Linked DNA regions of Pelodiscus sinensis. Each later gene encodes a partner of the first gene's protein in a complex. Links are inferred from orthologs where the notes say so. Each region holds a gene or a part of one and is shown on either strand. Other genes may lie near its edges.

What was found.
Region 2: the proteins of NUDT21 (region 1) and CPSF7 are in contact, whole or in part, in a crystal structure (PDB 3N9U), measured with the Homo sapiens proteins. The link is inferred for Pelodiscus sinensis from reciprocal best matches to the Homo sapiens genes NUDT21 and CPSF7. Residues at the interface, in NP_008937.1 of Homo sapiens: Arg68, Asn152, Glu154, Pro156, Tyr158, Tyr160, Pro162, Ala163, His164, Ile165, Thr166, Lys167; in NP_001129512.1 of Homo sapiens: Trp91, Trp92, Thr93, Thr94, Asp95, Gln96, Glu112, Lys114, Phe115, Glu117, Asn118, Arg119, Ala120, Asn121, Gly122, Gln123, Ser124.
Region 3: the proteins of NUDT21 (region 1) and CPSF6 are in contact, whole or in part, in a crystal structure (PDB 3P5T), measured with the Homo sapiens proteins. The link is inferred for Pelodiscus sinensis from reciprocal best matches to the Homo sapiens genes NUDT21 and CPSF6. Residues at the interface, in NP_008937.1 of Homo sapiens: Pro151, Asn152, Glu154, Pro156, Tyr158, Tyr160, Pro162, Ala163, His164, Ile165, Thr166, Lys167; in NP_008938.2 of Homo sapiens: Trp90, Trp91, Thr92, Thr93, Asp94, Glu95, Lys113, Phe114, Glu116, Asn117, Arg118, Ala119, Asn120, Gly121, Gln122, Ser123.

The regions. Positions count from the first base shown.
Region 1 is NC_134722.1:44,117,981-44,127,328, reverse strand, and holds the start of NUDT21 (cleavage and polyadenylation specificity factor subunit 5), read right to left. Parts: upstream 4,705-9,348; 5' UTR 4,549-4,704; coding exon 4,433-4,548; intron 1,633-4,432; coding exon 1,432-1,632; intron 542-1,431; coding exon 478-541; intron 1-477. Other genes in the region: prolyl 3-hydroxylase OGFOD1, read left to right, coding at 4,928-5,096, 5,243-5,388, 8,771-8,817. UniProt on the Homo sapiens protein: Component of the cleavage factor Im (CFIm) complex that functions as an activator of the pre-mRNA 3'-end cleavage and polyadenylation processing required for the maturation of pre-mRNA into functional mRNAs.
Region 2 is NC_134714.1:125,563,439-125,573,506, reverse strand, and holds the start of CPSF7 (cleavage and polyadenylation specificity factor subunit 7), read left to right. Parts: upstream 1-5,693; 5' UTR 5,694-5,727; coding exon 5,728-5,818; exon of another isoform or gene 5,819-5,874; intron 5,875-6,153; coding exon 6,154-6,257; intron 6,258-10,068. Other genes in the region: SDHAF2 (succinate dehydrogenase assembly factor 2, mitochondrial), read right to left, coding at 1,046-1,176, 2,595-2,704, 5,386-5,585, 5,667-5,687.
Region 3 is NC_134711.1:63,705,848-63,715,500, forward strand, and holds the start of CPSF6 (cleavage and polyadenylation specificity factor subunit 6), read left to right. Parts: upstream 1-5,482; 5' UTR 5,483-5,579; coding exon 5,580-5,639; intron 5,640-9,653. UniProt on the Homo sapiens protein: Component of the cleavage factor Im (CFIm) complex that functions as an activator of the pre-mRNA 3'-end cleavage and polyadenylation processing required for the maturation of pre-mRNA into functional mRNAs.

The DNA.
Region 1 (9,348 bases):
TTTAACCCCATTGGCCAACAGAGGGCAGGGAAAGCTATCTGCTATACATTTCAGATAGTTTGTTTGTTTGTCCCCCAGCTGGGAGACATGCATCCCTTCCCCAGCTGTTCCCACTGCTGCGGCCATGGAGAGGTGCTTCTCACCTGGCCACAAGCTGCTGTAGTGAGAGAGGGCTGGGGTTGTTCTCTCTCCCCAGGGCAGCCTGCATACAGAAACCCTCATCCTTGGCCCCTACCACAGAACAATGATAAAAATGGAGAAAGAGAAAACTTATTTAAGGACCCAAGCAATGTTGGCTAAATCTTCTAGCAGCATACTATGTGAACTACTAGAAAGAAGTCAAATGTGAATCACTGAAGCAAACAAAAGAATAAAAATGGTAAAAAGGCTATGTTAATGTTTTGGCCAAAAACATTCTAGAATGAGTCAAAATTCAACTGCTGTAACAACATTCAACAAAAAATGAAGAAAATATACCTCTGTCATTAAACGTTTGAGTCCTTCTACCTCGTCTTCTCCTGGATTGAGTTCACCACCTGGTCTGTGAAAAATTAATGATGAAAACTAGTATTCTATATTTTATTTACAGATACCCTTAAACTTATTAATGAATATGTCTCACTTCAAACTTTTACGGATTTACAAACTCATTTTCAAACTCTTTAGTAGCCAGAGTCCCAACTCTCAAATATCACTTTGCTGGATTATTACAATTTCAACACTAAACAGGATAGCATGCATGACTACTACAATTTTTTGAGAGGACCTCATGATGTTAGAAAAATGCAAAAATGAGGGAGGGGTAAGTTTGACTTCAGGCATTGCTCCTGACTTTGTTTTAAACCAAAAAACAACACTTGAAGAAGTGCACAAAAATAAGAAGATAAGTTATCATGAGGGGATAATCCTGATTTGGAAGTCCAGATAACCCAACCAGTCATTCCCACCTTTAATTCCGAAGATTGTGAAATTTACAAGAATTCATCTACTTTCTCTTTCCATAACAATAAAAGCACAGAAAGGAAACTTATCATTTATAAGCAACTATATTTTTAAAATTTAAGGTCAATGATTTAAGGTGCTGAGTGTGTTTATACATGATTTATTTTCATCATGTCCCTTCATTCAGAGACAATAATAATTACTGGTGACAAATTCTAAAAGCATCAATATACATGTTGATGAAGTCTACTATAATGAAGGCTAGTCGTCAACGCAGCAATAGATTATCATCAACTTTCTGCAGGGGATGATACAGCATGGTTTGCCATATAAACAGCAGCAACTGCTGGAACACACCCTTCGATCCATGATTTCTTAGTACAGATGAGCAGCCTATATATTTGCTGTTCAACTAATCTGTTATTTGGTAATGCTCTGTGATTCTACTAAACATTACTATAATGTCAAGTTCCAACGATATACACTTACAGTTTGAAGAAAGTTGTACCTAGCTGCAGTAGTAGCACATGTGGCAGCCTATGCTCATGTACAATCAGAACTCCCTCTACAGTCCGCCTCATTCCAATCTTGTCAAATTCTTCCCTCATGCGCTGAAACCGGGCTGCAACTGAACTATCTTTCTCATAAAGGGGCTCCTTTGTACCAAATGTATAATTTGTAAGTGGATACCTAGAAGATAAGTCACATGTTACTATATCATGAAGACTAACCCAGATCTCATGAGCACAACTGCACAGTACATCCTGAGGGTCAGCTACCGTAGTATAAAATTAGCTATCACTGATTTCAAAATATTTATAAGATGTGCACACATATGCTCCCTATTCTCTTCTGGATGCAATTCAAGGTACTGGTTATAATCTATAAAGTTCTAATTAAATGATTTGGGCTCCACTTACCTGAAAGGCTGTCCCTCTGCAATTGCAAGAGTAAACCACTGGCTCACACTCAGCTATTCCAAGCCTTAAAGCTCTCCACAAATAGCAGCAAGACACTCAAGTAGAGAGCCTATATCTGTGACCTCCTACTTGATCTCTGCCTGAGTTAGGAGAGTTCTTAAGCTTGTGCTTTCAGAGTCTGTTTGACAGACTTTTGAATAATCATTGTAGTAGCAGGGAATGAGTTTGTTAATAAGCAGGGGAAGTTCTCTTATATTTGGTTGATCGGTTCTTGATTTTTATTGATTTGTGCAGATGCTTTGATGCAAGATACTAATATGCATTTCTAAATAACTCATTTGAATCTGATAACTATTAAGGTCATTATAAACATTTCACTTGAAATCTTTTTAGGTGTTTCTTTTCTAAAACCTTAATCTTAGAGATAGCTTCCCAAATTCAGTGCTAATTTGGAATTTCTCCCCATCTTCCAGTACAGAGTATCAGAGCCAATTCTCATGCATGCTGCTATTCTACAAGCATCTCTAGTTTTAGAATATCTTAATGAACATCCTCTCAATTACAGGTCTCTTGCTTCCTGATCAATGGTGTCTTTATTATCTTTATTACCAGTCTCTTGTATTTTCTCCTCTTTATCTGTGGCTTTATGATTTCACCACTATTTTCTTCTTCTACTTAAATTATTTCAGAAATCTCAAATTATAATTCCTTCTCTAAAATAAGATTATATTTATCATAGAGAAGCGCTGTCCACTTTATAAATGTGTGATATTCCTTAATCTGGATCCAAAAAATTTGACTTGTACTAATAAACACAAATTCAAAGAGTTACAGCTTCTTGCTAACAGACTGTTTCCCCTCAACAAAAATCCCTGTAGATTAACATTTTCACTTTTAAAATTAGTTTTATCCATTTGGGCTTCAAAGTAGGGATGTAAAAGAGTAGTTGAGTCATCTTCTTACTTCCCCCCACCCTCCACCTTGGGGATGGAGAAAACAGGAGCCAGTGCTGGGAGAAACCATCTTAAAAGAGGCAAAGGCAGCAGGGAGGTGTGAGGGGTAGAGGAGGCTTCTCTGGCAGCAGAGCCTTGGGCTAGCCACACCCTGGGGCTGCTGGACCTGGTAGGAGCAGGGACTTAGCAAACAACAAAGAGTCAGGAAACACTTAGACTGATGAAATATCTAGAATTTGTTATCATGAGATTCTTCAAAGACAAAGAACCACTGTTGCCCTCATTGTTTGATAGGTAGGTAATGACCTAACCATCCAGTATCTTTGTTTAATCCAGAGGTGTGAGAATTGAACTTGCAAATGAGCTTTATTATTTGCTAATTAATGGTTCTTATCTGCCCCCTTTGACTATCTAGTCTTTAGGTACTTATAGACTCAGCTTTCCTTTCATATATTTTTTACCTACTGCCTTTTCTTGTTACCTCCTCCTCCCAATTTTCACTTCTTCTCCCCCCCCCCTCCCCGCCCATTCATTTTGGTCCTAGAAATCCAACACTCTGGTCATCTGAAGAAGTGGGCGGTGCCCACGAAAGCTCATGATCCCATCTACATGTTGTGTTAGTCTATAAAGTGCTACCAGACTATTATTTGTTGTTTTTTTAGTTTATCTGTACAGACTAACTCAGCTACCCCTCCCCCCCAAAAAAAAGCTCTGAGTGTGTAATGGTTAATTGTGGAGTACTGAGTATTACATTTGTTTGCCATTACTGCAACTTTGTAAACTTATCAAAGAAGAAAAAACTAAATGTGATGTCCACTGTAAAGCTAAGCCTGCTTCAATAAATGGCCCACTAAGGCAATCATTGCATACCAGCACTTGCATGTTACTTAATACAAATCAAGTTGCATCCTACAGCTTCCAAACATCCAAAAAAGGTACATATTTGTCCTGTAAACTCAGTACACGCTGAACAATGAGCACATATTGGGTACACACTTTTACATCCTATACACAAACTCAAGACACCACAGAGGTGGAAGGAATATAAACCCTCAGGAAAACAGGTGTGCAACTCTCCTAACTCAGCAACCCCCTTATTTAATCTCACTTAGATAGCAGCGGTATATTTACACCCCCCGTTGACGGTCCTAATGCCTCTCCTCACAAACTGAAGGTCTCCTCCAGGTAAAGAGCCTGCTCCCATTAAAGCCATCCCAGTTAGGCAGAATTCAGTCCTCTCCAGTGTGAGCAGATAGTGGGATCAGAAGGGGCCTCCTTCCCTCAGGCCCTCACCTCCAGCCTGAGGTGAGGGGCTAAGGCACAGGCAGGAGCAATGGGGAGAAAGGGCTGTAGACGGCCCTCTCCAGAGCCAGCAGCTCCGAGAGTTCAGGGTGTTGCTCCCTCCCCGGAAGCCGGGGGAGATCTAAGCCCGGGGCACGGTGAGGGTCTTCCACAGGAAGGGGGGGACGGGGCTCGCAGGTGGATGTGGGGAGATTGGGGGAGGGGCTGGGGAGCTGAGGGAGGGGGGGGCCGGGCCGGGGTCGGGGAGCTGAGGGAGGGGGGCTGGGGAGCTGAGGGGGGGGCCGGGGAGTTGAGGGGGGAGGGGCGGGCACTCACAGGTTGATGGTGCGCTCCAGCGTGAGCGGCTTGGTCTGCTGGATGTACTTGTTCCCGAACTGGTTCACCCCGCGGGGCCAGCCGGTCTGCGAGCGGTTGGGCGGCACCACGGACATGATGGCGCAGCGGCAGGCGGGAGGGGCTAGGTCACTGCTCGGCGGCGGGAGCCAATTCCACCATTAACATCCCCGCGCGCCAGGCCTCACACCCCGCCAATGGCTCCGCCGGAACCGACCGGGCGCGCGCCGGAAAGGGTAACCATAGAGACTGGCGCACAGAGCGCCTGGACCATAGAGGACAGCAAGCGCGCCGCCACCCGCCCTACGGCGCACGCGCACCACTGGCGGCTTGTAGCCTCGCTCCCCTTGGCTTCAGGGCCGCGCTCTTCTCGGCTCATTCCGATTGGCTCCCTGGGCTGCGCGAGCGCTGCTGGGAGTTGTAGGCCCCGCGGGGGTGGCTGTCCCCGCGCGCTGGCGGAGCAGAGGCTGTTTGACCATGAGCGCGAGCCGTCGCGGCCCGCGGGCCAGGGAGGCCCCGCAGGGCGGGCCGGGCAAGAAGCGGGGCAAGCGGGAGGTGCGCGGGGAGTTCTCCGCGGCTCTCAGGGAGCCGGCCCTGAAGGAGAAGGCAGCGGCCGCCTGGGGCCGCAGGGAGCCGCTTAGCCACGGTACCGATTCCCGGGGCCCCTCCCCCACTCGCTGAGGCGCCCGGGCCTGGCCTCCCCTCTCGGCCCCCGCGGGCCAGGGCGGCGGCGAGCTCGTGGGGAGCCCGAGGCGGGGCCTGGCCTCACCGTGTCTCGCTTGCTGTCTCCAGAGGCCGTCGCGGTGGATCCTGCGCCCTTCTGTCACTGCGTGATTCCCCGCTTCATCCGCAGCCCGGGCTTCCTGGACGGGCTGCACCAGGAGCTCGCGAGCCTGGATTTCCGTGAGAAGAGCAACGACTTGTACAAGTTCAAACAGGTGCGCTGCCATGGTAGGCCCGAGTGTGTCCGCACCGATCTCACAGCGCTCGCTGTGTGTTCATAGCCCCGGTCTGTGCTTGCAGCTATTTGTGAATTCAGACTGGCTCCATCTCACTTGTGTCAGTGAAACTTCTGTCGTTCCGGAGGGTGCAAAAAACACACTTCGGACCAACATTAAGTTTCACCAGCAAAAGTGCTGATGTGGACAGTGCAGCTACACAGGAGACCTTACAGCAGGGGTGTCTAAACTTTTTTCAAAGAGGGCCAGATTTGATGAAGTGAACATGCGTGAGGGCCGACCATTTTGCCTGACATTCTTTGAGCCATTCAAATTAAATGCAAATTAACTATTTTATGCAAAGTTTATTGCAAACGGCATACTTTTCATTTCGTCACATGGATGACAAATCTAAACAGGTGTTAAATCACTCTGCCTTTCATATCTGAAGGCCAGATGAAAAAAAAATCCAGGAAGCTGAAATATATGTCAGGAACATTGTAAAGTACATTACATATTATTGGTAATAAAGGTTGTCTGTCAACTTTTAAGTTCAAAAAATATGAACAGGAACGTAACACCAAGTATACATGTTGTGTCCAAATATATTTATAACTGATTTAGACCAACTGACATTTTACAATGTATTCATCTCAATACATATGGATTCGTTGGGGGCCATAAAAGATAGATATTGCCAAATTACCTGTGGGGCCGTATTAAACCGGAACACGGGCCGCAATTGGCCCGCGGGCTGGACTTTGGACATGCCTGTCTTACAGCGACACTGCTGTACAAATGCATTCATGTTTCATAGATCTAGGATAAGCCTCATGACACCTGGACCAGTGTGTGTGGCTATCATAGCTGATAAAGTTGAAATGTGGAAATAAGCAAGATGACATGCCATGGTTAATGTTGTCAAAAGCTGTCACTAACTGTTGAGAAGCGCTATTTTAGATGCCTAACTTAAATGAATAAACCCTGGGAAAATGCTTAAAATGTATAATTTTGCACAACTATGTAAAATGTAAATCTATGTAATTAACAAAGTGTAAAGCAAATGCATGTTGGAACTATTTTTATAAGAATTTATTCAAGCCTAATTCTGACCCATGACTTTATCTGGTTTGTAGGGGATCTCAAGTTAATGGCAAAGCTGTGAGTGAAACTCCTTGACACCTATGTTTATGCTGATCATATGTCCCATTTTTTTCAGGACTATCCTGAATTTAAATGATCTGTCCCAGTGCCCCATCAAGTAGAGAAATGTCCCAGAAAGCCCCGCTGGACATTTCACTACTTGATGGGATACTGGCGCAGCAGCCTCCTCCCCCCAGCAGGGCATGTAGGGCTACTGGGCCAGTTTCCAGTGGCCCGCCCTTTCCTCTCTCCCTCCCCCCACAGGACCGCCTCTGCTATGCAAAGTCCTGGTCCGGCAGCCCCACCTCCTTCTCCTCCAGGCCGCCTTGGAGCCTGGCAGGAGCCGTGCAGAGCCTGGCTGAGATGCTGCAGGGTGAGGGGCGCTTGGCTCGGCAGGTGCCATGACAGGAGCAGGGGCCGCCTGTGGAGCTATTTTTAGTGCTGCAGTCCAGATCATGGTTGGTGGCCCAGCTCCAGCTGGAGTCAAGCAGCAGTCATGCAAGGAGTATTCTGGTGAGACTTCCCCAGATGGAACGTGCCTCGTAGGGCTGCCACTTGGCTCCAGCTGGAGCTAGGGCCGACCACAGAGACTGTACTGCGGCACTAAAAATAGCACTGTGGGCAGCCCTGGCTCCAGTTGGAGTCAAGTGGCAGCCACACGAGCCATGTTCCAGCTGGGTCTCGCGCAGATGCCGCTGGACTCCAGCCGGAGCCAGGGCTGCCCGTGGGGAATGGACTGCGGCACTAAAAATAACACTGTGGGCGGCCACAGCTCCAGTCCCGGCAAGTGGTCCGGCTCTGGGAGCATCTGGGGCTGCGGGGACTTCTGGGGCTGGTCAGCAGGCTCCACCCCCACAAACTGGAAGGCAGAAGCTGAGGGAAGGGGCAGGGAGAGAACTAAGGAGAATGGAGGAAGGGACTTGTGCTGAGGCAAGGGGGGGTACGCCAGGAAAAGAAAGGGGCAGGCACCAAGGGGCAGGATGCAGGAAAGAGAAATGCCAGGCCAAGAGGAGACAGTGAGGAAAAGGAGGGAGGGGAGAGGCAGGGTGATGCTGGGAGAGGAAAGGGGAGGGACCGTGGGGGCAAGAGGGAGGGAGAGGAGGAGTGAGTGCTGGGAGAAGAGGCATTTAAAGGCGCGATGGACCTGAGGAAGGCAGGGGATGGAGCAAGTCGTGTGAGGGCACAGAGGGGAGTGAGGAGAACTGGGGTAGAGGGTGGTGAGGGAGTGGGCACCAAGGAGAAGGAGGGCAGGGGCAGGGGGGAAGGGAGAGGCACCAGGAAGGTATGTAAATATGATTAAGGAAGATCATTCTTCTTGGGAGGTGTTTAGGTGTTGTGTTGCTTGTCTGCCTGTACCCATATGAGCATGAAAGAGTATTTAATGATGACTTTTGCAGAATAATAGGTGCAGACTAACTTAGGAGAACACAGGTTTAAACCTAGATAATAGACACTGGGGGCAGTGTCCCCTGCTCGCTCCGCTCGTCAACCCTCCTCTCTGGGGGCAGGCAGCCCTGACTTCCCACCCCAGAGCTCCGGGGAGGCTGGGGAAGCCACGTGGCTGCCACCCTGTCCCCAGGAGCTCCAGGGAGGCCACTTAGCTGCTGCCCTCTCCGGCATCAGAGAGGCTGGGACCCTCAGCACCAGTATGGGAGTGAGGGAGGAGGCTGGGTGGCTGAGGAGGGAGGAACTGCAGGACGCAGAGTGACATGATGGCATCACTCTCTCATCCTGCAGGAAAAACTTACACATGTAGAAAGATTAGTAATCCTCTTCTGCTTTCTCCACCCTCTGGCACGCTAAAAATTGGCTGTCCCTCCATCTCTGTCGTCTGAAAGAGAAATCCCTATGTGTATATCCTGTACAATGCTGAAAGTAGAGGCTCTTTTGAGGTGTGGTAGCCGTAGAATACAGATACTCCCCTCCCAAGTGCAGACATTTCCTTGGCAAGTCAATGACTCAGCTTTAATATCGAGTGTTGGACCAGTGCCCTGAGACCTTTAACTTGCATTGGTGAAGCTGGCATTGTGCCCTAGTAACTTTTGGGCTACTTAATTCGCCTTTTGCCTGCAATGGCCCTCTGCCATCCATTCTGCACTCCGGTTCCTGCAAGAGCTGTAAATTACACTGATGATACTTATAGACTTATTTAAGTTCTGCCCTTATTTATCGCTGCAGCTGTAACTTAGAGCAGAGTCCAAATTAATAAATTGTTCTTATTTTCCATGCATCTCCTTAGTCTGATGATCTGAGGAAGAGGAAAGAGCCTTACATCTCAGCATTAAGGTAAGGTAGTTCCTAGAAATCACAGCAAATCATTAGGCACCCTTTTCTAGAGGTCTGAAAGGAACAGGGCCAAAAAATGAAAATAATTTTGTGAAAAAATTCATGATTATTTCTGGTTCAGGGTGTTCAAAATCTTAAATGTTTCATGATTATATTTCTGATATATTTGTGAGTTGGGACTCTTTTTTAAAGAGATAATTATTAGAAGTTTTTATTTACCAAAAATAGTTTTGGTGACCCATTTGGATACAATTTTTATAATGTTTCCAGTAAACATGTCAGAAGAAAAAATCAGACAAAAGCACAATAAGTTCATGAGAGAGCAAAAGCTTATAGGTTAATGCTATAGACTACATGCATTTCCCTCCCTCCACCACTAGTACATTTTTTAGCAGTCTGGCCAGCAGCCCAGCTCAATTCCGGTTTGTGCCGGGTCTGGGAGCTCAGACACCCCCTCTTCCCCCTGGCAAGTGCTGCTGACACCCCACACGGCTGCCTCTTTATCAGAGGCAACAGCACAGGGCAACAAAC
Region 2 (10,068 bases), on another chromosome or scaffold:
GGGATTCCTCTGGTATCCTGAAATAACTTTGCTGTGTAGATATACCCATACAGTCCCTGAAACCATGATTCAACAGGGCCTTACTGATAACACAGGAGACACAATAGCCAGGCTATCCTGGGACAGCAGTTCAAGTAGCTGAGATCTACTGGTTACAAGGTGTTGGCTCCTCCTCCTTTCCAGCTGATACACAGCAAGTTAAACTCATCAAACCCCTCCTAGGCTCTTTCCCACACCAGCCATTACCTTAAGGACACAATCTGAGCACCAGCGGGGGGGAAGAGGCCAAGAAACTCTCTCTCTATGGGACAGGAAATGCCCATTTTGTTCTGTCCTTGCACAACAGGACCTGGCACAGAACTGCGACCCTTAGACACTTCTGCCCCACCCACCCAAAATCACCTACACTCTTGGAAAGTGCTCAGTTAAGCAAACCGTTTTCAGCCTATGGGATCGGTTGCATATTTTGGTCGCTAACCTCACACAGGATTGAGGTGGGATCTGTTGCTACTGTCATGGCATGGCACTGCTGCTCCCCTCCTGGAGTCTGGAGAAGAGGGAGCAGTGGATACTCTTTCGGCCGGGTGGGTCTGTTTTCTCTCTTTACACTGATTTTCCCCATTGGAGGGTCCTGGACACAAGGATTTACAAGGAATGGTTAACGGAGAGGCTGCAGCCATCAGAGAGGCCACACAGGTGAACAAGAGGAATTTCACAATGAGACAAAGCACATTGTCATGATGTGATCATCTTCTATTTCTCTTGCACCAAGATGCGAGAGAAGCTATATACATAAAATGCCACTGTCTGGGGTGAACTGCTGCACCTGCACAACAATGGGACAAATCCACATATACATTCCCACTGTCAGGGACAGTGTTTGCAACTTTAATTGGTGGGGGTTGGAAATCGGGGGAGAAGCAGGCACCCGGCGGAGGATTCCAGGAGCCAGGGCAGCAGCACTGCAGTTTGCCAAATAGGTCGAGACACCTCAGCCTCTGCTGCCAGGGGTGAGAAGAGGATCCCAGAGCTGACTGGAGGTGCCTCAGTGTTGGGGCTCAAAGAGATACTCCAGGTCCGGCTGCCGCAGTCTCTGCTCCTTGTTCTTGTTCTTGGTGAACTCTCTCAGCATCACCATGACATCATTCTCAAACACCTCCGGAGTGGGCTTAGCTTCTTTAGGGAGAAAAGACACAGGATGAGATGCAGCACCCCCACCCCCACTTTTCAGTCATCAGCTTTGCATCTTTATGCTTGGTGCAGCCTATCAGGAGTCACAGTGAAGCCAGTCTCATACCCTTCTAACACTGCAGTGCCTCTTTCAAGCCTGCTTCACCAAACACCATGGGATCTCAGGTCAGAGCAGCTAACCACTTCTCCTAGCGACACCCATCTCAGATGGCAGCCACTTACTGCAGGGTTTTACTTCTCCTGTTGTACTGGGGAATTCCTTCCTGCCCCCATCTTATGATCATCTTGTACTTTAAAGCATGAAGATTGGAAGCCATGGGCATTTTCTGAGCAAGAATCACTGTGGCTGCCATTTTGATCCACGCTGGGTGTGGAGTTTAGATCAACTGAGATACATTCATCACCCCAGAAAGCTTCCTGCTCCATCCCATCATAGGAGTCACGGCCCAGCTATACCACCACCTAGCTCTTGTAGATTACAAAGGTTAATATCCTCATCCCTATTTTATAGATTGGGAACATGAGGTACAGGGAGAGGAAAAGACTTGTCCAAGGTCACCTAGCAGAATTGTGGCAGACTTTGGAACAGAGCCCCAGTCCACTGCTCTATCTTCTAGGCCAGGGGTGAGCCAAGCTGCTGTACCTGGCCCCCAGCTGCCTCGCCAGCACCCTTACTACAGAACAGGAGCAGCTGCTTTAAAGAGCAGGCAGCTAATTGCTCTACAAGCTGTGCAGGGAGGAGGAAGCTTCCAACACTGTCCCCGCCCCTAACAAAATCCCCCAGCTCCCATTGGCCAGTTTTTGGCTAATAGGAGCCAAAAAATTTTGCTGAAAACTGGGCAGCTGTCCTTACTCCCCCTCCCAGGCTGGTGCAGACACACGTAGAGCAGCTCACGCAGCACACAGGTAGGGAGTCTGCAGGGCTGCTGGCTGGGAGACGCCTAGGTAAGCGCCCCCCAGCCAGTGGCTGCCTCTGGCACCCCTCACTTCCCACAACTACGTGCCCCAGGCCATCACCTAAACCCCCTGTATCCCCTTTCCCCACCTCCTTCAGGTCACAACTCTCTCCCAGTCCCTGCACACACACTCCCCTTCCACTCCTCCCCCAGGCCAGAATCCTCTGCTGCACCCTAAACCTCTGCCCCAGATTATAATCCCTTCCTTCACCCAAACTCCCTCTCAGACCCCACACTCCCTCCTGCAATCTAGTCCTCTATCCCAAGCTCCCTTCTATTCTCCACCTGCTGTCCCAGACACCGTGCCCCGTTCACAGAAGTGCAGTCCTTGACTACTTTCCAAAATCTCAAAGTGGCGCACCCCTCCCCCCTCATTAAAATGTATTGCCCGCCTCTGCTCTAGGCCATGCTGCCTCCTGTGAAGCGTGCCCTGTTGCAAGACAGTACCTGTTGCCCAGTAGTAAATGTCCCAGTCATTGGTGGGCTCGTTGATAAGGCGATCATAGAGGTTCAACTGCTGTTCAGTCATGCTGTTCAGATTCTCCTTTGCAAAGAGGCTAAATGAGGCAAGAGAGAAGACACAAAGCATTAGAAACATAGGAAGTGCCATGCTCACAGCCTGGGTCTGTCCAGCACAGCATCCTGTACTAAACTGGCCAGGGCCAGGAGCAGGCAGATAATCTACCCTTAAGCCAATCTCTAGTTATTAAAGTTCTGTTTGACCCTGTAGCTGAAAAGTTTAATAGTCCTGCCAACATCTATTATAAATAACAACTCTGGACATTCTAATTGCGCATGGAAATGTCCAGATGCTTTGGAAACTTACCATGTTCCTGGCCTCACCAACTTCTCATGGTAGGGAGTTCCACAGGCTAAATAGGCAATGTGTGAAAAAAGGATTCCCTTTTATCAGCTCTGAACTTCCCATCATTCCATGTAATTGACTGTCCCCCTTTGTTTGTTAGGAGACAGAGAGAACAGAAGCTCCCAACCAGGACTTTGTCAAGCTGGGACTTAAACACCTCTAGGGATGGAGACTCCACTGCTTCCCTAGGTAACCCATTCCAGTGCTTCACCACCCTTCTAGTGAAATAGTTTTTCCTAATATCCAACCTGGACCTTTCCCACCACAACTTGAGACCATTGCTCCTTGTTCCGCCATCTGTCACTACTGAGAACAGCCTTTCTCCAGTCTTTTTGGAACCTCCCTTCAGGAAGTTGAAGGCTGCTATCAAATCCCCCCTCACTCTTCTCTTCTGCAGACTAAACAAACCCAACTCCCTCAGCCTCTCCTTGTAGGTCATATGCTCCAGCCCCCTAATCATTTTGGTTGCCCTCCACTGGACCCTCTCCAATGCATCCACAATCCTTCCTGTAATTGAGGGCCCAGAACTGGATACAGTACTCCAGATGTGGCCTCACCAGAGCCGAATAAAGGGGAATAATGACATCTCTGGATCTGCTGGCAATGCTCCTCTTAATGCAATCTAATATGCCATTAGCCTTCTTGGCTACAAGGGCACACTCTTGACTCATATCCAGCTTCTCATCCACTGTTTGTCGACCCCCTCAAAGAACTCTAGCTTACCGGTCTGTAATTGCCAAGATCATCTCTAGAGCCCTTTTTAAATATTGGCATCACGTTAGCTATCTTCCAGTCATTAGATACAGACGCTGATTTAAAGGATAGGTTACAAATCACAGTTAATAGTTCCACAATTTCACATTTGAGTTCTTTCAGAACTCTTGGGTGAATGCCATCTGGTCCCAGTGACTTGTTACTGTTAAGTTCATCAATTTGTTCCAAAACCTCCTCTAATGACTCCTCAGTCTGGGACAATTCCTCAGATTTGTCACCTGAAAAGAATGGCTCAGGTTTGGGAATCTTTCCAATATCCTCAGCTGTGAAGACTGAAGCCATTTAGCTTCTCCGCTATGACTTTATCATCTTTGAGCGCTCCTTCAGCATCTCGATCATCCAAGAGCCCCACTGGTTGTTTAGCAGGCTTCCTGCTTCTGATGTACTTAAACATTTTGCTATTACGTTTTGAGTTTTTGGCTTGCTGTTCTTCAAATTCCTTTTTGGCTTTTCTTATTATGTTTTTACACTTAATTTGACAAAGTTTATGCTCCTTTCTATTTTCCTCACTAGGATCTGACTTCTACTTTATAAAAAATGTCTTATCTGTCACTGCTTCTTTTACTTGGTTGTTAAGCAAGGTGGCACTTTTTTTGGTTCTCCTACTGTGTTTTTTAAAACAGCTGAGGCTGCACTACTGATTTATGGGATGGCACCGGAGTATTTTATCAGCACTGAATTTCACTTGCCACTATGCTGCCCATTCCCTTAACAGGGCTTGGTCTTGCAAAGGTGCCACACAGCCCCCTGCAGCTTGACTAATGTTAGTAACTTCATGTCATCTGTACATTGTGACTCACACCTCACTGCCATCTCCAGATCACTAAGAACAGCTACACTGGATCAGTATCCTGTACTCCAACAGCAGCCAGTGCCAGGTGCCCCAGAGGGAATAAATCATTAAGTGATCCCTCCCCTGTCACCTATTCCCAGGCTCTGGCAAACAGAGGCTAGAGACACCATTCCTGCCAGTCCTGGCTAATATTCCTCATGAATTTATTTAGCTCTTTTTTGAAGTGTCACCGAACCTAAAGGCAACCTTGGTTCCCCACTGTGGGGAATGGAGCAGCCCAGTAGAGGCAAGCAAAGCCGGGAGAGCTGCTGGGGAGGAGGAGACTCTCATGCCCCTCTTCCCTCAAGTAGGTGTAAGGCCGGCTGACTGAACCAAACCTGGGTCTTCTGGAGCTTAGTACACAAGCGACCACAGCTTGAGCTAAAAGCCAGCTGGCTCTCAGGTGAAGCTGTAGAACAGGGGCGGGGAACCTTTTTGGGGTCAGGGGCTGCTGACCTACAGAAAGTCAGTTGGGTGCTGCATAGAAGTGAAAAGCCAAACCAAAAAAAAACCAAGCCCGGAACCCTCACTGACGTGGCCCCCGACTGAGAAGGAGAAAGACCCTCCCCGCATCAGAGCCTAGTAGGACCCAGGCTTGCAGACTGTGTGTGCTGCAGCTCCCCAGTGCTAGGAGGGGAGCCCTGAGCCTGGGGGGCCGGATCCAGGCCCACGAGCCTGAGGTTTCTCCTGCTGCGTGTACAGCAGACCCACGCCCCGCCTGCGGGGGTCTGTGCGGGGGACGCGGCGGGAGCCCCGGGGGCGCTTACCTGAGCAGCAGGCAGTTCTCCAGCATGCCCCGCTTGCGGCTCTCGTAGAGGAGCCGGGCCCGCTTGCGCGGCAGGGGCTCGCCGGGGCGCGGCTGCCAGGGCGGCAGGGGGAGCGCCCGCAGGTCGGCGCGCGAGTCGGCCGGGGAGTCCCCGCGGTAGCCGCGCCGGGCGGGGAGCAGCCGCCGGGACAGAGCCAGGAGCTGCCGAGAGAGGGGGGCGCGTCACGGGCCGGGCCTCGCTTCGCCTCCTCCCCCAGCCCCGCCACCGCCCGCCCCGCTTACCCGAGTCCCTGCCGCCGCCATCTCCGCTGCCTGCGCCCGGCCGCGCTACCTCGGCCTCTCTATGGTCCCTCCCTCCGGTCCCGGCGGGGCGGGCCGGAAGGGGCGTGGCCTGGCGGCGGAAGGGGCGTGGTCTAGCGGCGCAGGCTGTGGCGGTGAGCGGTTCGCGCGCTTCGGGCCTGCTCGGAACGCTGCCCCCCCTCCCCGCGCGGTAACGGCCTGGCCGAGGGGGGGAGGGGTTCCTGGGGGCTCGATGCAGCGGGGATCGGGCCCGCAGAGGAGGGGGGGCGGCGGCGGCAGGACCCCCCCCCCCGCCAGGCCTGGAGGAGCCGGGCCTGGCCCCTGCTCGTTGTGGGGGGAGGGGCAGGACGGGGGGGGCCCAGGCGGGGGGAGGGGGCGAGTGAGGCGTTCCGGCGGAGGGCTGGGGGGGGGTCAATCGAGGCCGGGCGCACATGGCCGGCCCGTGTGACTGAGCCGCTTCTCCCCGCAGTGCACCTCCTGCCTCCCTCCCTGCGCCCCCGGGCTCCCGCCGCTGCCAAGATGTCCGAGGGGGTGGATCTGATCGATATCTACGCCGACGAAGAGTTCAACCAGGTGAGCGGCGGGGAGAGCCCCACCCGGGGGGGGGGGGGGGCTGGGAGCCGAGGGGGGGGGGAGCTGTTTGTAAAAGCCCCCCCCCCCTGTGAAGGATACTCCGCTCCCGAGAGGGCGAGGCTGGGAAGAGGGCAGCAAGGGGGCACCGATGGGCTTGTACGTCTCCGGTGGCCAAGGCACGTGATGGGGTGTGTGCGCCAGCCCAGGAGCATTGAGGTGCTGAAGGGTGGTGCTACAATTCCCCACAGTCCCTGTGAAGCCTGGAAGGAGCGGGTGAGGTGGCCAAGTTGTGATCTAGGTCCCTGGATGGAATCTGTAGGGGACACTTTTTTGCAGCTGGAGTTCGTGCTCGGTTGGTTTGCAGTCTGTGGGCAATAGGGAGAAAGAAGCGGGCAGCTGCCTGTTGGGCTGAAGCATTCCTTAAGCCAGGGACATCCGTGGAGTTGGCGAAGAGGGAAGTGGTGGATACAACAGATTGAGAACCTAACCATCTTCTTTTACAAAACTTGAGGGTAGGAGGCAGGAAATGAAACCACAAAAGAGCTGTGTGGGGCATCCACTAGAGGTTTTCTGGGACTGTAGGCGCATGCACACAAAAGCGTATCCTGGATTTGCAGTGAGAAAATGATTGAGAGTATAACAGCGAAGCTAGGGAGCGGTACATTGAATTAAATGTAATAAAGAGCATGAATGCAGTGGCCCAAATCTGTTAGGTTTTAGAGAAGCAAATATTGGAGAGTTAAGAAATCTGGACAGGTGGGTATAATGGAAGCAAGTTCAGCTCCTTGAAGATGAAAATGCTAAGGAAGTGATATGTCTGAGATCATGGAAGAAGCTTAGATATTCTTAGACAGAAAACGGCAATCAGTCTTGATTATTTTCCAGGAACAAAATGCTAAGAACAAGAGACTGCCAGTGTGGTCTCACAAAGGGTTGAACAAAAATTTGAAGGCAGTAAACCTCTGTTCTGAAAAGATGGGAAGTTACAAAATAAGATTATGCCAGAAGTTAAACCTTTAGTTAAAAGTTAACAGTGCTGAATAGAGTTTTAGTTGTGTCATGGATGTTAAGAGAAACGTGAGAAGCTTTTGTAGCTATCCTGGGAGAAATAGTAGTGTTAGACTGGAAGCAGGCGCATTAAATGAGTATGAAATTGAGGCTAGTTTTAAATGGCTGAGGTCTTAAACTTTCTCCCATCTTACCATAATGCTATGCAGTTTTTTAAAGGTATTTTTGTTCTATGTGACCTTCAATAGCCAAGCTTTATCTTGCACTGAAAGCAGTTTTAACTTTAAAAGAAATATTTCCTGTTGTTTGGAAGCCTCTTGGAACTTTCTGATAGACTGAAAGCATCCTAGAGTATAGCATGGTTATCCAAGGTGTACTGGATGGATGATGATATAATGATGGACAAGAATTACTTTAAGGGATGTGGCCATTGAAAAAGTTCAGCATAGAAATATATTTAATTCAGTTTTCTTGCAGTTAACCTCTAACAAGTAATATCAGGTAGCTTTGGACTAGGGTTGTGAACATATAACAGTGTAAATGGTTAACTGATAAGCCTAGGCTTACACGTTAACATTGGCGATTACACACAGGTCCCACCCTAGTCCTGGGGAACTGACTGTCATCCTCCACTGCTGCCTTGGATACAGCCGGCTCCTGGTGCACACTGGCTCCCAGGGAGCCGCTGTGAGTGCATGTAACTGCTACGTCAGGGCTACTCAACTTTGGAAGCCCCCTGGGGCGACGATATTCACAGCACAAGCTGAAGGCCAACACTTAAATGCAAATATATATGCAAATAGCTTCCTTTACCCTGACGGGTATGAATACAAAGGTTAAGGCAAGACTACACAACACGCAGGCCCCGTTTAAGTCAGTTCTGCTGATGTTAATAAAATGCAATATTTACCCGATTTCCACCCATATGACAGCACTTCTAATGAGCAATGACAGTCCAAGAATTTAACTACTAAAACGCATATCAACAGAAGATCGTTATATTGACTTGCCATTGTGGAGTGTGTTCCCAGTGGAGGCCATCTTCAAAGGATCCCACCCGTGGGGCACATGTTGAGCCCTGTGTGAACCCAAACCACACCGTGGGGCACCAACAAATGGTCTGCGGGCCACGTAGCCCTGTACTACGTTTTTCAGCAGTTACAGATTTACGCAGTTACCCACATAACATCCCTACTTTGGACAGTTGAGCAGAATGAGAACCTAGTAGTTACTCATGAAGAGTAGGTATGAGAGAATTTGGAAAATACAAACATAGGGGGTACGTCTACACTGGCCCCTTTTCCGAAAGGGGCATGCTAATTTTACAGGTCGTAATAGGGAAATCCGCGGGGGATTTAAATATCCCCCGCGGCATTTAAATAAAAATGTCCGCCGCTTTTTTCCGGCTTTTAGAAAAGCCGGAAAAGAGCGTCTACACTGGCCCCGATCCTCCGGAAAAAAGCCCTTTTCCGGAGGATCTCTTATTCCTACTTCAAAGGATTCCTACTTCAAAGTAGGAATAAGAGATCCTCCGGAAAAGGGCTTTTTTCCGGAGGATCGGGGCCAGTGTAGACGCTCTTTTCCGGCTTTTCTAAAAGCCGGAAAAAAGCGGCGGACATTTTTATTTAAATGCCGCGGGGGATATTTAAATCCCCCGCGGATTTCCCTATTACGACCTGTAAAATTAGCATGCCCCTTTCGGAAAAGGGGCCAATGTGGACGTAGCCAGGTAGATTAGTCCATCTGAATTACATGCATTCTAGTGTAATGGAAAATGACTAACAAATATATCGAGTCATTTCTGATTATTTTGAAAATTCCTGGAGAAAGAGATTGGAGAAAAATAAATGTGCTGCTGATTTTCAGAAAAGGGGAAAAGTGTTACCCTGGCAATTATTGTTTAGAAGATCTGTCAGTTCCTAATTAAAATAATATTCCATAAACCTCTCGAAGACTAGCAGAGATATGAGCAACGTAAGCATCATGGAATTATAAAGAAAAAAATCAAGCTCCTCATTTGATGCTTTTCTGTTTTGATTTTAAAGCACTTATTGTGCAACAGTAACTATCCAGATTGGTTTGGCTGTGAGTATTTTCATATGTCTTCAGAAGTGTCTGGAAAAGCACTGCCGAAGAATGGAAATAAAAGGCAATGAATTGAATTGGGAGGAAGATGTTTATTGGATGCAGAAAAAAAATCTGTGTTGGACATGTTCTTATACTGTTATTCAACAGTTTCAGTGATTGAAAGTAAACAGCATGATGAAAACATTCACAGATAAAACAATCTCCAACACACATGAACAGATGTAGTTTTTAAGTCCAGAAGTGAACATTGTGATCCATTAATCTAACTTTCTGCATAATAAAGGTTATAAAATGTTATTTTCAATGGGGATAAAAAACCTGGAAAGCAGCAATGCTAAGAGAGATGCTGTGGTGTGATTGTGGATAGTTTGCAGTAGGGACGTAAGAGTAACCGTTTAAACAGGTAACCGATAAGCTTGGTTACACAAATGGTTACACGCTGGCTCCAGGGGAGCCGACTGTCACCCTGTAGCGCGGAGCAGCGAGCAGGATCTGGTATGTCCAGCTTAATAGATGGCTCCTAATGCGCATTGGTTCCTAGGGAGCTGGCTGCTGATTCTGTATAAGAGTCTGCAGTGTGGGTTGGTAGCTGATTCCCTGGGAATGTGGCAGTGCACTGGCTGCTAGCCTCGTTCTTGGGGAGCCAGTGTGTAACCGCTAAAATTATTAATGGCCACACTGTTACAATAAATAATTGCTTTTTAATATCCCTAGC
Region 3 (9,653 bases), on another chromosome or scaffold:
TACATATTTACCAGTAGCAGATGCAATTTTCTACACTCTGGGTCCTAGTGGCGCCCCCCCACAGTCTAGCACCTGAGGCAGACACCTCAGTTTGCCTCATGGTAAGGCCAGACCTGGTGGAGGGGACCAAAGCTCTCCCTTCTCCCCCCAATTCATACAGGAACATATCTCACTGTTCCCCTTCAGCAGAGAACAAGGGAAGTACATAGTTTACTGAATTCCTTGCTCTGGTTGGGGAGCACAGGGGGCAGATGAACCTGAATCTGCCCCAGCTGGGGACATACATCCCTCCTGTGGCTGTGCTCACTGCAGCTGCAGTAGCTACGGACAGGTGCTTCTCACCTGGCCCCAAGCTGCTGTGGTGTAAGGGGTTGGGGTAGTCTTCTTTCCCCTCAGAGCCAGCCCCGTCCTTGAGCAATGATTTAAACGAAGAAAAACAAAAATTAAGGGCTCAAGCAACACCAGGTAAATCTCCTAGTATCATGTAATAAGAAAATAAAACTATTAGATGAGCTACACAAACAATAAAAGTACTGGTTTGTTTTATTTGTTATGAATTATTATATCACTTAAAATTGGATTAAAATGTAAGCTGGAACAATTAGCCAAGTGCTCTCTAAGCAGAAAAAAGATCGTAAGTGAGAGTGTCCTCAGATTTTATCTTTTCCAGATTCTGCTTTGAAGGGAAACTTAAAAATAAGTCTTTATTTTATTCTTTCATAGAAAGAGGCTGATCTATTATTTTTTATATATTACTAAGATGAATTGATAGCAACTCCATAGGTCAACAAAGAATTCAAGACTTTTTTCTTTGCGTTGTACTGGCCATCTATATAGGTGTTATTATTAGTTTTCTGTTATATGATGAAATGTTACCATAGTTGCAAAGTGGAAAGGTGAGAATGAAAAAAATCATATCACATAAGTGATTAACCATTTTGAGTTTCCATTATAAGGAAATAAAGTTTTATACTTGTTGCCTTAAGGGCCTTGTATCTATTTAATTGCACATCCCAAACTTGAAATGAAATTAATGAAAGTTGCAATGTGCAAGGAATGGAGGATGGCTGTCCTCAAAAAATAAGATTTACATTGCAATCAAGGGCTTGTCTACACAGGAATGTCATACAGGTATAAGCTAAGTGCTAAGGTGTGAATTTAAACTGAGATAGTTATACCAATATAACTCCCCATGTTGATGCTTAGTGCATCTTACTTTGGAAGGTGTTTAAGATACCCCTCCCTCAATCACTCGAATAAGAGTGCCTTATGGAAGGGATAATGGTATAACTCAATGAATTTAAATATTCCAGTACAGTAAAAAAATCTTCATGGTGTCTACTAAAGAAAAAACAGACTACTACAGGAAATTAATAGATGAGCTTGAATAATGTGTAGAGTCTTTCACATTAAGTAAGTTTACAATATGAACTTTCAACATAACATTACTTATACAAGAATCAAAACAAGTATTACACATACCATATATCTATTATAAACGGTAAGCCTACTCTCTGAACAATTTTGAGAGGTTTACCAGATTACAAAGAGATAGGATGTCTCTGGAATATAAAAACACAGCACAAAGGGCACTGAGAGCCTTATTAAACCATCTTCCTTATGGCATAGGCCAAAGGAAGGGAGATCACTTTTCCTGATTCTTCAAAGACCCACTTTAGGGCTCTCCAATTTCTACAGAGGCACCTGTCAATCAGAAGCATGCAGATCCTCATAAGTATTTAGGTGCCTGTCTGTCTCTTTAGGAGCCTTCATCCACTGTTTAGGCACCACTAATATTTTCAAAATCCTTGTTTAGCTGCTGCCTAACCCCATATGCATCTCAGTCTCATAGGAGCCTAAGTTTCTGTCAGTTGGCATTTGCTAAGCAACCGAAGTTTTGACACCACCCCACAGCTAATGAGCAGCTCTGACGATTAGTTTACACTGAAGCCCAGGAGGCCCCTAGGCAGGATTCTCAAACTAGCCAGAGGATTGCGTATTTGCCAGCAAGACCTGATCCCACAGGCACTCTCTGGGGTAGCCTAAGACTTGATGCCTGTCAAGTCCCACAGCAGGAGGGCTGCAGTCTACCTTTAGGTGTCAGAGACAGCACAGCAGTCACATAAAAGGCTAAGTTGGGAGCACAGGGAAATGGGACAAATCATGAAAGAAATACTGAACAGCAGACTGAGAAAGGGATGGTTTTGGCTACTAGGGCAAGAACCACCTAATTGGCTGACTTGGCTTATGTGTCTAACTCCAGCAGAGGGTCTCTGGCTGAGGAGCCTGAGTGGAGGGAAGTGCCTATTTCTGGCCCATCAGCCACAAGTACCCAGGTAACCTGGCTAGGAGCATATATACGTCTCCTCTCTCCACCTCTTTTCTCAGAATTTCACCTCTGACTAGTTTAGGCTGTTCCCCAATGCCCCCCTCCCTTTAGCTTGGTGATTTCTCAGGCTTTCTTTCCTAGACACCTTGCTTTCCCCAATAGTTGAATGAGGAGCCTGAGTGCCCAATTTGGGGCTGAGGATTCCACTAGATAGCAAACTACCTCAGAGTTAAGCACTGCAATGGTGTGCAGAATTATCTGGGCCATGTTCCTAAAGAGAGCAGAATGGCATTCCCATTCACATTTATTTCCATGCTCTTCTAGTCAAATATCATTAAAATCAACACTTAAAATGCCAAAATGTATCTAAAACTCTGCTAAATGTAATCCCAGCATCTGTGATGATTTGCTTGTCAATTTATTAGCACAGGAACTGGTGTATTTTCTATAGTTCTGCACTCTCTCCAGTTTGGCCTGATGGAAAAAAAGGTTAAAAAGAGTTGAAGTGCTGCACCTATGTCTTTGTATGAAATATCAGGTATTAGATCTGCTTTTCATCAAACAAAAATAAATTACTTCACTGCATTTGAATCGTAATACTTCAGGAACTTCTTAAAATATAATGTCATGGCAAATCCTTCACTTTCCCCCTGCTACTTGGTCAAAATATATTTTAAGATGAGAAAATTTGACTGCAACACTTCTGAGTAATTTTATTCAATAATGTTTCCATCCTCTAAATTTACTTAGGATCCCATTGAGCATGTTTTTAGGTCTCTATTTGTCTTTATCTATCTGTAAACTCATATCAATCAATTTTTTTTCCAGGTAAAGTTGTGAGCTCTTGGATGGGGTAGACCTTCTGGAAGTTCCTGTAAACAGGAAACTCTGGTATAGTTTAGAATGTATTTGAAATATTTTAGCTGTTCCACTTAATATAAGAATTCTACAAGACAGATAGCAACTCTAGAAATGAGGCTCTAGCCAACAATGACTTTACAACTGCTTGAGGAATATTAACGAGTTTTCAGTAAGAGGTAAAAAGGGAAAAAAGGACTCCTTTTTTTGAATATGCAGCATAGTATACATTTGTATTTGCATAATATACATATGTTGCATATACAATGCATACCTAATGAGCCACCATTTCTTTCAGAAGAGGCTCTTGCGCAAGAAGGAGCGTCTACACTGCCCCTTCTTGTGCAAGAAAAACCCTCTTGCGCAATGCCATTACACCTATTACTTTTCAGGAAGAACGGCATTGCGCAAGAGGGTTTTTCTTGCGCAAGAAGGGGCAATGTGGACGCTCCTTCTTGCGCAAGAGCCTCTTCTGAAAAAAATGGTGGCTCATTAGGTATGCAAATGAGGGTCGGCAATATTCCACGCTTAGTCTCATTTGCATATTACTCGTGCAAGAAGCCGCAAGTGTAGATATAGCCTAAGGGTGGTATGGAGAAAGAGAATAGGGAAATGTTATTTAGCCCTTCACATAACTCAAGAACTAACGGTCACCTTATGAAATAAGCAGTAGAAACTCATTGCCAGGGAATGTTCTTCTTCAAGTGATTGCTCATGTCAATTCATAGAATGGACTGTAGGCCTTTCACTTTAGGAGAATGCAGGGTCCAGAATGCCTGGGAGTTAGCAGGGATCCTGGCACTGCAGCAGTGAGCAACCTATTCCCAGCCCATTCTGGTTCCTGTCCCTCCCCTCCGCCCCCCCCATCTGTTCCATTCCCTCTTGCAAACCTCCGCCTTGCCTCTTTCTGTCTTCTGTCTTCTTCCTTGAGTGTCGTAGAGTGGCAAGGGTCACTTTCAGCTGCTAGTGCCAGGCCCCCTGCAGGCCCATATGCAGAAATAACTGTGAGGTGTGCTTTTTTTGTAAATGTGGACCACAAAGGTGTGAACGCACTCCCTATTGTCCCACAAGTAAGCGTGGAAATCAGCCTCAGCCTTCCCCTGGCTGGCCAGAGTATGCTTACTTGGGGGACTGCACCCTTCACCCCCCTCCCTCATGTATGGGCCTGCCCTGGTAGCCTCCAAGGCTATGTCTACACTGGTGGGTTCTTGCACAAGAACATCTTGCGCAAGGGTTCTTGTGTAAGAAGTCTTGCACAAGAACACGTCCATACTGCCATGTGCGAGATGTGCTTTTGCACAAAAGCATCCATGGCAGTGTGAATACTCTCTTGCACAAGAAAGCTGATGGCCATTTTAGCCATAGGGCTTTCTTGCGCAAGGTATCCTTGCCGTGCGTCCACACTGCCCTCCTGCGCAAGAGCTCCTGTGCAAGAGGGCCTACACCTGTTAGAAAAGAGTGTAGCTCTTGTGCAAGAAGTGCTCTCGTACCACGCTGTACTTTAAATCTTCTTCCGCAAGAGCGGGCGGGCAGTGTGGATGGTCTGCGGATTCTTGTGCAAGAAAGGACATTAATAATTGCATTTTAACTTCCTTAGTATGGTGTGTGGGGGCAGTGTGCGAAGCCCCCTGGCTGCCCCTGCGCATCAGAGCCAGAGGGGAGACATGCTGTTACTCCCGAGAGCCATGTGGAGCCACAGCATGCAAAGAGCAGGGCAAGCCCTTGCCTCTGATCTCTGGCTAGAACTCAGGGCTGGTGCCCTAGTCTGCCCTATGGATGGAATGGCTCTGAAAAACATAGGCCCAAACACTGGTGGAACTGGCCCCTGGTCCTGAACGCTGATGAACCATGGATTCATATAAATCACCACTTATTTAGACAGTGCATGGTCCTGCCATGAGGGCAGGGGACTGGACTCGATGACCTCGAGATCCCTTCCAGCTCTATGATTGTGACGAGCTCGATCCATGCTGTGGAGCCGAGGCACCCCTCCAGCCCATGGGGTGCCAAGCTGGGGCCGGCGAGTGCTGCTGAATGGACACATCCTCCTTTAATGGGGCCCCAGTCGCACCCCCCAACGAGCGGGGGAGCCTGGCCAAAGAGCAACCCCGCTGCGGGGGGGGGGGGGACACCTACTCCCTGGCCTGCGGCGCTGAGAAGCTGCCAGCAGCGGGAGGGGCGGCAGCCTGTGTGAGACCCCCGCCCGGGGCGGGCTCAGGCGCACTGGGTGGGCTAGAGCAGCAGCCGGGGGAGAGGATTCGGCACCGAGCGGGTGCAGCAAACGGAAGTTCCCTTCTCCTCCAGGAAGTGACGTCGGCTTCCCCCTCCCCGGCGGCGGCGGCTCTAGTCCCGGGCGCGGCGGGCAGCGGAGGCCCGAGGAGCGGGCGGCATCATGGCGGACGGCGTGGACCACATAGACATCTACGCCGATGTGGGCGAGGAGTTCAGCCAGGTACGCGCGGGGGGGCGGGCGCGGGGCCGCGCGGGGGGGAGGAGGCGGCGCTGCCGCCGCCATTGTTGGGGCAGGCGCCCGGGCGCGGGTTTCCCGCGGAGCACTAGGCCGCTGGTGCAGGCCGCATGCGCGGGGCCCGGCAGCTGGGGGCCCGGCGGGCGGGGGTTGCGCCGCTCGCTCCGACGGGGGCAACACGACTCGGCCCGGAGAGCGGGAGCGGCCTGTGGCAGACCCGCAGCCCGGCGGCCCGATCCTCGTAGCGCTGCCCGCCTCTGCCTGGTGGGGGTGGCTGCGAGGGAGAGACTGTGACGCGCCGAGCAGCACCCGTCTCCGCATAACGCTGAGGTGCTGTAGCACACACCCAGCAACTCCCCCCCCATCTCCAGAGCCCCCTGAAGAGACAGTATTGCACAACCAGTATTTTGTCCCATTTCTGTATCTCCTGAGAGATTATACACAAAGCAACTCTTCCATATCCCTGAGGAGAGCGTGAAGTGACTAACACACTGGAGCAGGATGAACAATATACACCCTGCGGGCCAAGTCCAGCTTAACCAGTTAACTGGTTAAAGGCTGAGACCGGGTGGGGGGGAGGAGTGGTCCTCCCTCCTCTGCCACAGTCTAGGGCGGCACCAGCATCCTCTTGTTTTGTCATCCAGCAGCCACCAGTGGTATGTATCTCCCGACCAGGAACAAAGCCTGCACCTCGCATCCCTTTCTGCACCCCAATACCCTACCTCAGGTCAGAACCTGATCCTGGACCAAAGCTCCCTTCCAGACCCTGCAACTCCTCTTGCACCCCAACCCTTGCTCCAGCTCAAAATCCTGCATGCAAACTAGCGATGTCAGATATCAGGTAATTGAATAGTTGTGTAATTGCATAAAATCTTAATGATTACACAACTATTCGATAGTCCCCAGGGGTGGGGCTGGCAGCCAGTGTGCTCCCAGCCCCATTCCTGGGATGCCCCCTGCAACTCTGCACTACTGCTTCTGTATCAGAGGTGGCTGGGGGAGCTGGTCTGCAAGGAGAGCCAGCTTAAAAACCAGCCCCCCGCGCAGAACAGCTACCTGCCTCTCCATTACTTCTGATACAGAGGTAGCAGCACGGGTTGGAAGCAGCCCTTGTCCATAGGGGGTCCAAGCTCCTCACGGACAGAGACTGCTTTGTGGCTGCCTCTCCCCCCGCTGCCACTGATAGAGGCAACAGCGTGAGGGGGAAGGCAGCACTGTGCTGGGGTGAACTGCCTTTTAATCTGGCTCCCCCCAGGACCAGCTCCTGTCATCCCTCTCCCCCCACTCTTGCTGCCTCTAACAAAGAGGCAGCAATGAGGGTGGGTGGAAATGCATGTAGTCAACAAGATTAACTAATATGCCTAGGCTAATTGGTTAATCATATAGGTGACTACATGTTGACATCCGTAGCTTGTAATCAGCATGCACATCAATTCATATGCTGTTACTTTATGTGTATGTCACTTTAGTAATACTGCTACAGAACACACACAACCAACCCTCCCACCCCCGCCACCAATGGAAACCAGTGGAATCTGACAACCCTGTATGTGGGCAACAGGAAACAAAATGTCTAGCGGGCCACTTATAGAACTCCAGTGGGCTGTATGTGACCGTCATATTGCCCACCACTGCTGAAGAGTATAACACCCAGAGCATGGCCCTGTTTGAGAATAGAGGCTGTGACAGACGGCAAAACCCCGACCAACTCACAACCTGAGGAGACACACACCACTAACTCCCATCTGTGTATCCCCGGAGAACGATGGACACACAAAGAGCAACTCCAGAGAGACACTAACACACAGGAAAATATCTCGCATCTCTATATTGGAAATCACCTTATCCCTTGAAATTCTATAAAACACATGAATCCTACCAGCATCTAAGAGAGTTAGAGATCAGGGATGTGTAAAGATAACTGGCTGACTGATAAGCGTCACACTAAATGGGTAATGCTTACTTCCAGTTAACTATAGGGACTGGAGGATGGGCAGCGGGCTGCTCCATCCTTGTGGGGCCCACCACAGGCAGGGGCTGCTCTGGATGACTGGAGCAACCCCTGTCCATGGCGGGCCCAGCCCACTGCCACATGCTGACTCCCTGGACCCAGGTTACATGCTGATTCCCTGGACCAACCCCTGTGGCAGGGAAGCCTCTTCCCCAGGAGTGGCACCAGCAGCTCTTGCCAACTCTGCTCCCGGGGAAGTGGCTTTGCTTGGGGAGAAGGCTTTATTTAAAGTTTATACTGCAGAGCCTGCTGTGTGTGTAACTAAGATTTTTCAGACTTTAAAAAATTTCATCTTTTTTAACCGACTTTATATCCTTGTTAGCAGGGCTTGACAAACGGCGGTGAAAACTGCTTGCCAGCCCCGTACTGCGCATGTGCAAGAGCCGCATTGCGCATGCGCACGCCACGAATGAACAGGGCTCGTGGCTGAAATCTATTTGCCACGGGCAAGTAGATTGTATGGTTTGTCGAGCCCTGCCTAATTTAGATTCTGTAACACATGCATGAAAATCCTCAGTCTGCAGATAGAGAAAGAAACCAGGGAGCAAGCACAATTTCTTGCCCTGTGCAAGGTCATCTAGTAGGAGAAATTAATATGTGGCAAATTTATCATCCAGAGGGAAGAGAACTGTAAAAATATGCGCTGCATTTTCTTGCAGAATGCAAAAATGAATAACTAAATACTAAGAGAGAAACCAATGGGTCTCCTGAAGGTGAGAGTTGATCCAGTCTTGAGACACTTGGGGCATATACTTTAACAACTGCTTTTGCCTGTTTATGGAGACACATCTCCTTTTTTCCTGTATTGCATACAGCCAACTGGCTTTCATCTGTTTACTTTTATAGTTCTTGCTTTTCCTCATTTTTCATTCATCTCAAAAAGCCTATGTATGTGCCCTTACCAAATTCATGTCATGTTCTTAATCCAGTTTTCTGTAACTTAGCTGTATTTATATCAAATGGGCTCTGACAAATTTCCTGTCACCATACCCCAGATTGTTGGTTTTTTTCCTGACCTAGAGCATGAGAAATTAAATAAAGCAGCCATCTCCCAAACACTTCCAGATCTGCAGAGCTACTAATGCCCTGCAGTAGGTCCTTGAATACATCTTTCAGCAGGGGGAGGTTGATGTGTGCCAGAGAGGGGAAACAAAATAGGTGGAGAGGAAATAGGTGATTGTGTTTGTAAAAAAATAGATGTTATTTGAGTGGTAGATAGAAAAGGAACGGAAGAATGCTTATCAGAGAATATTTAGATAACATTAGACATATGCTTTAATCATTTAGTCATTTTGGTGACATTATATAATACATGGGAGTGATATACCATGAAGTAAGCAGGTGGAGAAGACTGGTTTGTTCTCTTATGCCTTGTCTATATGGGAAAGTTGCCCAGGGATAACATAAGGCGTGAATTTAAACTGATACAGTGAAACCAGTGCAAACTTCTGTAGAAACACTCCTATTTCAGCATGAATGCTTTCTTCAGTATAGTTAAGTTGATTGGGAATTGATTTAAATTAAGCTGAAATACTTTCATGCTGAAAAAAGAGTCCACAGAGGGTTTGTACTTATGTAACTGTGTGGACAAGCCTTTAAAGTCTGGTTACAAATATGATGCAGATGCCTACTGTGTTCACTTCTCTTTGGAAGCCATCTCTGCAAGAATGACTTCAAGAAGGGAGATGATTGAGAATATTTTGCCTCTTGCAATATCAATGTGATCCAGGTCTACTTAGTACTTGGCATTCACTATAATGATTTTGGTTGTCAGGACAGTGGCACCAAAAATACTTTGTATAAGCTGCTTGTTTGGATACCAGTTTGCCATCACTTTTCTTAGAAAGTTTGCCAGTGTAGTCATCTGGGTCTCAGCAAACCTTCTTAGTGAAGACACAGCTTATACCAGCAAGAGTTCTTTTGCTGAAACCATTTCGGTCAGTTCCTTGAACAAAATAATCTGTAACAGCAAAAGGACTTTATTGGTG